2 linked regions of the Macaca mulatta genome follow. The protein of the gene in region 1 interacts with the protein of each later gene in a pairwise test. Links are inferred from orthologs where the notes say so. Each region holds a gene or a part of one and is shown in the gene's direction. Other genes may lie near its edges. The genes, in order: SAR1A and SLC38A7.

The links.
Region 2: the proteins of SAR1A (region 1) and SLC38A7 interact in binary tests that used the Homo sapiens proteins (3 or more experiments, as listed by UniProt). The link is inferred for Macaca mulatta from reciprocal best matches to the Homo sapiens genes SAR1A and SLC38A7.

What each region holds. Positions count from the first base shown.
Region 1 is NC_133414.1:79,473,554-79,477,368, forward strand, and holds part of SAR1A (small COPII coat GTPase SAR1A), read left to right. Parts: intron 1-3,069; coding exon 3,070-3,173; intron 3,174-3,815. UniProt on the Homo sapiens protein: Small GTPase that cycles between an active GTP-bound and an inactive GDP-bound state and mainly functions in vesicle-mediated endoplasmic reticulum (ER) to Golgi transport.
Region 2 is NC_133425.1:54,295,251-54,299,065, reverse strand, and holds part of SLC38A7 (sodium-coupled neutral amino acid transporter 7), read left to right. Parts: intron 1-111; coding exon 112-210; intron 211-1,480; coding exon 1,481-1,538; intron 1,539-1,772; coding exon 1,773-1,887; intron 1,888-3,815. UniProt on the Homo sapiens protein: Symporter that selectively cotransports sodium ions and amino acids, such as L-glutamine and L-asparagine from the lysosome into the cytoplasm and may participates in mTORC1 activation. The transport activity requires an acidic lysosomal lumen.

The sequences.
Region 1 (3,815 bases):
CCAAACTCAACTCAAATCTTGACTGAAAATTTTTACAAAGCAGGACAGCATCTTGCCATTTTAATCTTTACTAGGTTTTTACTTATTAACGCAATTTACCTGGTAACTAGAAAATACGTTAAAAGATATAGGTATTGCCTCAACAAGAGTAATTATTTCATCATTTTAACTAGGCTTGCTCTAAGCCAGTGTATTTTCTTCTATACCTTTTGCCCAAATTTGTTAGTCTCCTCCTCCCTACATAATACATATTAATACTTACTTTTTATTAACTGTTTGTGAGCATATCATGCCCCTTTACTCTTTTATACTTTAGTGCCGTTTTCTAAGAACAAAGATATCTCCTTGTATATAATCATAATAGTTATCAAATCAAGAAAGTTTTATTTTTATCCAATCTGTATTTCCTTTTTTTTTCTTTTTTTTGGTCAGTTGTCCTGATAATCTCTTTTATACCATTTTTTCATCTTGACCAGGTATACAGTATCATATATTTAGTTATCAAGCATTTTTGCATCCTTTATTCAATGGAGTGAAAGTATGTAGGAAATTTAACTTAAATATTTGTAAGTAATTTCAGACTTGTCAAAAGTTGCAAAAGTAGTACAGTGACTATGTGTGATTACTCTAAGTTGATATTTTGTATATTCTATCCATTTGGGACAGTTGGTAGAACATTTCCTTCTACCTTTTTGCTTTCCTTAGAAGTGCTTTTTGCCTACTCAGGCTATGTCTTTGGCTACCAGATTCCTATCAGGTGTTTAGAGACATACAGGATGGGCGTCTTTGTCTAATGGGCACTCAGTTCACATTTGACAAGACAGTAGGTATAGGAGTAAAACATTTAAGATGTGAGAATAAACATTCTGGGAAGGTAGGGAAAAGGAACTATTGAGATTCTGTCAGATTTACTTACTTGTTACTACATTGAGTGGAGAAATCTCATTTTGAAACATTAGGTTGAGCTAATACCATTTTTTTTTCTTTTTTTTGAGATGGGGTCTTGCTCTGTTGCCCAGACTGGAGTGCAGTGGCATAGTCTTGGCATACTGCAACCTCTACTTCCTGGGCTTAAGCAATCCTCCCACCTATTTTTTGTAGAGACTGGGTTTCTGCCATGTTGCCCAGGCTGGTCTTGAACTCCTGAGCTCAAGCAATCCACCTGCCTTGGCCTCCCAAAGTGCTGGGATTATGGGCGTGAGCCATTGTGCCCAGCCTAATACAGTTTTTTGTTTTTTTTTTTTTTTTTTTGAGACAGAGTCTCACTGTGTCTCCCAGGCTGGAGTGCAGTGGCGTGATCTCGGCTCACTGCAAGCTCCGCCTCCTGGGTTCACGCCATTCTCCCGCCTCAGCCTCCCAAGTAGCTGAGACTACAGGCGCCCGCCACCACGCCCGGCTAGTTTTTTGTATTTTAGTAGAGACGGGGTTTCACCATGTTAGCCAGGATAGTCTCGATCTCCTGACCTCGTGATCCACCCGCCTCGGCCTCCCAAAGTGCTGGGATTACAGGCTTGAGCCACCGCGCCCGGCCCTAATACAGTTTTAAAACAATGTGTAGTAAAATACAACATTGGTCATTTCTAGTAGTTAAGCCTAATAATTTTATAGTCAGTTATTTCATTAACATATAATTACATTTTAATTAATTTATTTAATATTTATGCCCTAAAAAATCATGTATATTATGATCATAATCACATAAAATACCAGTAAAGAAAAAAGACTGGAAGAAAATACCAAAATATTGACAAGGGGTGTGTTTTGATGGAGGGATTAGAAATGATTTTGTTTCCTTTTTTATGTAAGGAGCTTGTATTTTTTTTCATTTGGGTAAGAATGGGTATATGGTGTCCTTTCTGCTTTTCCACAAAAGGATTTGTAACTGCTTACAAATTTAAATTCAGAGCAAGATACGACTGAACCTAGACCATCTGGAGAATGCAGAAGGAACAGACACCAGATGGTTTTATATACCTGAACTGGGAATTGTTGATTGTTTGGTGTGATAAATTTAGGTTTCAGGTTTTGTTAAAATAAGAAGGGAAATGTATTGATGTATTTAGTTTTGTTTCTTTGACTGAGGAAAATCTACTAAACAGAAACACTTTTACCTAATAACCTAGCCACCATTTTATAGAAGTTACTAAAATACTGTACATCTGGAGGTTCCTTTTTTTTTTTGTATAACTTAAAAATTTTAACTTATAAAAGGAGAGCAGATTTGATATAACAAAATCGGTATAGAACTACAGAAAGTAAAATGGAAAGTTCCTTCAACCTCTTTTTCCTAACTCTACTCTTTAAAGGTAACCATTAATAACTGATGTAGAGATGCTTCGTTATTCATTCTATTGCAAGGGCTAGAAATGAATGGCTTAGAAATGATAGTAAAATTAAATCACTGCTTCCCAGCCTTTATCGTTTCATGTCACAAGCAAAAAACAAGTAATATTTCTAAGGCATGCTGGGTTAAATATGGTAGGCTGAGATAACTGGCCTGGGGCCTTGAACCACTTGTCAGGCCCAGTCTCCCTAAGGGCTAAGCAGAGGAGTGTGTCAAGACACCTACACACAAGTTGGCTAGAAACTAACTGGGACTAAAGTTACATGGACAAGTAATTTGTATCCTGATGTTTTAACTCAGAGGTTGCAAATTCAACTTGGCTCCAGGGGCAAGGCAAGTCATTTAAGTGAGTAAAATTGGCTGACTGTAAGACAGCAGGGACATTTTGTCAAGCAAAAGTGTTCAGACATCATCTGAAGGGGTAGCCACTGCTTAGTTCCTGCTGATAGTTGTCATGTGGATAAGTAGGCATGGGGTTGCCAGATGTTGCAGTTTTTCAAGAAAGGTGGAAACTCTGATTTTCAAATTTACAAAAATCAAGTTCAACTCGTGGACCATTAGTTTGCATCCTCTGTTCTAAATTAATACTGGCCAGAACTTGGAGAAATCCATAGAGTCTAATCTTACTGAAACCTGACCAAGATTTGTCCATTTTAAGACCATTAGGTTATTCATTTTTACAATGTATATTTTTTACTGATGCAACTACAAACTTTGTTTTTTAGCACGTCGGGTTTGGAAAAATTATCTCCCAGCAATTAATGGGATTGTCTTTCTGGTGGACTGTGCAGATCATTCTCGCCTCGTGGAATCCAAAGTTGAGCTTAATGTATGTTTATATACTTTGTCCTTTTTTGGCCTCTATTTTTTTTTTTTTAAGAAATATAGCTCAGTAGTGCCAATAATTAGTAATTCCAGTTAACATTTGGCAAAAAGACCTAGTTGCAGGAGGAAAATGTTTTAAATCTAAGACATTGCTTTTCAATGTCCTGAGGAAACTCAGCTCAAACTTGAATAAATTAACTGTTTTTTCTATCATACAGTGACTATATGGCCAAGTTTGCTCAGGATACTCCTCATTTATGCCTGTTGTCCCAGCATAATTAATTAATTAATAGTATTCCATTTCACGTGTCATCATGAACAGTAATTTTTTTTTTTTTTTTTTGAGACAGAGTGTCTCTCTGTTGCCTGGCCTGGAGTGCAGTGGCGCAGTCTCAGCTCACTATAACCTCCACCTCCTGGGTTTGAGGGATTCTCCTGCCTCAGCCTACTGAGTGGCCTCCTGGGACTACAGGCACGTGCCACCACGCCTGGCTAATTTTTTGTATTTTTAGTAGCGACGGGGTTTCACCGTGTTAGCCAGGATGGTCTTGATTTCCTGACGTCATGATCCACCCTCCTTGGCCTCCCAAAGTGCTGGGATTACAGGCATGAGCCACCACGCCTGGCCCACGAACAGTAATTCTTT
Region 2 (3,815 bases), on another chromosome or scaffold:
TTCATTCAGTGGACACTTGTGGTCACTAGAGCTGAAGGTGGATGTCCCTAGGGGTGGAATCAGATAAGAGGCAGCTGGGGATGAGGACACTTAGTCTCTCCTTCCCGGCAGCTTCCTGAGCGTCGTGGGTACCTGGTACGTCACAGCCATCGTTATCATCAAGTACATCTGGCCAGATAAAGAGATGACCCCAGGGGACATCCTGACCAGGTGAGGGTGAGGGCCCTAGGAGACATGGGGAAGAAGCCACCACTTGGGCCCCAGCAGGTGCTGGGTCAGGAACCAGAAGGCCACACAGGTGCTCTTCTCAAGGCTCATGAGCTCATCAGGGCTGACTTGGTCATTGTAGGAAGGAGGAAAGAGCCCCTGATCTCATGTTACTAGAGGGAAGAGCAAGAATCAGAGACAGGAGGCACTTTGCCACCCACATCCAACAGATGAACCAGTGTGAGGCTAGGCCTTGGGTTGTGGAGGAACCTGAGGGTGGAATCCCAGGGTGGAATTGCCCATGTTTCCAGCATGTGCTTATCTGTAATTTCTATATCTTTGAGGGTGAATTTATTATTTAAACCTTTTTTTTTTTTTTGAGACGGAGTCTCGCTGTGTCTCCCAGGCTGGAGTGCAGTGGCGTGATCTCGGCTCACTGCAAGCTCCGCCTCCCGGGTTCACGCCATTCTCCCGCCTCAGCCTCCCAAGTAGCTGAGACTACAGGCGCCCGCCACCACGCCCGGCTAGTTTTTTGTATTTTTAGTAGAGACGGGGTTTCACCATGTTAGCCAGGATAGTCTCGATCTCCTGACCTCGTGATCCACCCGCCTCGGCCTCCCAAAGTGCTGGGATTACAGGCTTGAGCCACCGCGCCCGGCCGAATTTATTATTTAAAAAAAAAAAACCAGGGCCAGGCGCAGTGGCTCACGCCTGTAATCCCAGCACTTCGGGAGGCCGAGGCAGGCGGATCATGAGGTCAGGAGATAGAGACCATCCTGCCTAACATGGTGAAACTACGTCTCTACTAAAAAAATACAAAATATTAGCCGGGCGTGGTGGCGGGCGCCTGTAGTCCCAGCTACTCAGGAGGCTGAGGCAGGGGAATGGCTCGAACCCAGGAGGCAGAAATTGCAGTGGGCTGAGATGGCACCACTGCACTCCAGCCTGAGCGACAGAGCGAGACTCCGTCTCAAAAAAAAAAAAAATTTCCTTTTTTTGAGAGAAACAAACCAGTGAAGCAAAATCCCCAGTCCAGGAGCCAGGAATTCTGGATTTTGGTCCTAGGGGGCTTTTTGGAGCCTCCAGGCCCCCTCCCAGCGGGGCCTGGGACAGAGGGATGCCTCTTTTCCCTGTTCCCAGAATTCTGTGGGTGGAACCTATAGAATGCCAGTTGCTGGAGACCATGCTAGGCTGAATGAAAAGTGAGGGTGTGGGGTGGGTTGGTGGCTCCGAGGAGTTCCCAGGTGGCAGCACCTTGTGTGTTTGTTCACAGGCCGGCTTCCTGGATGGCTGTGTTCAATGCCATGCCCACCATCTGCTTCGGATTTCAGGTGCCAGTGCCAGTTGCAAGGTCCCTGCTGTCCTCTTAGGTCACCCCACCCCAGGTTGGAACCCAGGAAGGAGGAGGAACCCAGGCAGGATGGAGGAAATCCTGGGGGGAAGGACAGAGCAGGGGCCTCAGGACTTGCCCCTTGTCCCTGGGGTCTTTGTTCCCAAGGTACCTTCCTCTGAAAACTGGGGGTGAGGTCATTTCCCCACCATGACCGTGCCCTTCGCCTGGACAGTGCCACGTCAGCAGTGTGCCCGTCTTCAACAGCATGCAGCGGCCGGAAGTGAAGACCTGGGGTGGAGTGGTGACAGCTGCCATGGTCATAGCCCTCGCTGTCTACATGGGGACAGGTGAGTGCTCCCCCCTAGACCTGGGACTGGAGTGCTCTCACTTCCACAGGTGTCCGCAGGTCCTGGGGCCCAGCTTTCCTGGGGACAGCCCTGCATTCCCAGCATGACTTGTGCAGGCACTGGCTTGAACTTGGCCTGCCTGGGGCCTCCTCCTGCCAAGATGAGAGTGGCGTATTCATCCATTCATTCACCAGTTCTAAGTTGGTGCCTAGGAAGTGCCAGGAACTGTTCTCAGTGTGGGGGATGCCATGGAGAGAGATGGAGCTGGTCTTGCCCTCATGGAGTTGACATTCTTGTTGGAGAGACAGTCATGCAGGAGTAACTAGGGAATCAGTAAGGAATTCCAGATGGTGGCGAGCATCCTGATGACAGTGAAATCGGGGAGGTGTATTTTGTTTTGTTCTATTTTGTTGTGTTTTGAGAAAGGGTCTCAGAAACTGTCACCCAGGCTGGAGTGCAGTGGCATGATCATAGCTCACTGTAACCTCAACCTGCCGAGTTCAAGTGATCCTCCTGTCTCAGCCTCCAGAGTAGCTGGGACTACAGCCATGTGCCACCATGCCCAGCTAATTTTTTGTTTTGTTTTGTTTTGTTTTAGCAGAGACAAGGTCTCACTCTGTTCCCCAGACTAGTCTTGAATTCCTGGGCTCAAGCAATTCTTCTGCCTCGGCCTCCCAAAGTACTGGGGTTACAGGCGTGAGCCACCAACCCAGCCTAAAATGGGGAAGGTATGAATGGGACTGGATGGGTGGCTTTGGGAGTGGTTCATAGAAAGTTCTTCTCAGAGGAGGCCCAAATGATGAGAAAGAGCCAGAAGAGGAGGGGCTGGGGGAGAACGGTTCTAGACAGAAGAACCACAAAACACCAAATCACTGAGGCGGGGCCAGGAAGAAGGTCTGCGTGGCTGGAGTGGTGTGTGATGGGGGCAGGTGACAGGCAGTGAGGCCAGACAGGCACTGGCAGCCAGATCCTGTTGGACCTTGAGGGCTTCTGGGAGTCAGAGAGGAAGCGTTTTAAGCAGGGGGGATGGTTCGGGGAAAGATGGCTCTGGCTGCAGTGTGGAGAGTGGTTGGGATGAGTGAGCAAGTCTAGGAGACCCCGGAAGAAGGATCCCCTGAGTTCTTTCCATGGACAGACAATAGGAGCTGCCTGGGCCAGTACTGTTCTAGCCTCTGAATACACAGCCAGGAATAAGAGAGGCAAATAGCCAAATCCCTGTTCTCCTGGAGCTCATATTCTGACTGGGGAGACAGAAAATAAGCCTGTGAAAAAAATTAATTTTTTTTTATTGTTTACTTAAAGACCAGTGTAATAGTACAGTTTAAAAAAAAAAATTAGAAAGAGATAAGGCTGATCACTGTGGTTCACACCTATAATCTCAGCTATGGGAGGCCAAGATGGGAGGTTCTCTTGAGCCCAGGAGGTCAAGACAGGCCAGGCAACATGGTGAAACTCCATCTCTACAAAAAAATTTAAAAATTAGCCAGGTGTGGTGACATGCACCTGTGGACCCAGCTACTTGGAGGCTGAGGTGGGAGGATCGCTTGAGCCTATGAGATAAAGGCTGTAGAGACTCATGATCATGCCGCTACACTCCAACCTGGGCAACAGAGCGAGACCCTGTCTCTAAAAAAGAGAGAGAAATGAGTGTTAGGGGACAGGCACAGTGATTCATACCTATAATCCCAACACTTGGAAAAGCTGAGATGAGAGAACCGCTTGAGGCCAGTTCAAGACCAGCCTCGGCAACATAGTGAGACTCATCTCTACAAAAATTAAAGAATTAGCCAGGCATTGGCCAGGCACGGTGGCTCACTCCTGTAATCCCAGCACTTTGAGAGGCCAAGGTGGGCGAATCACTTGAGACCAGGAGTTCAAGACCAGCCTGTCCCAACATGGCAAAACCCTGTCTCTACTAAAATTACAAA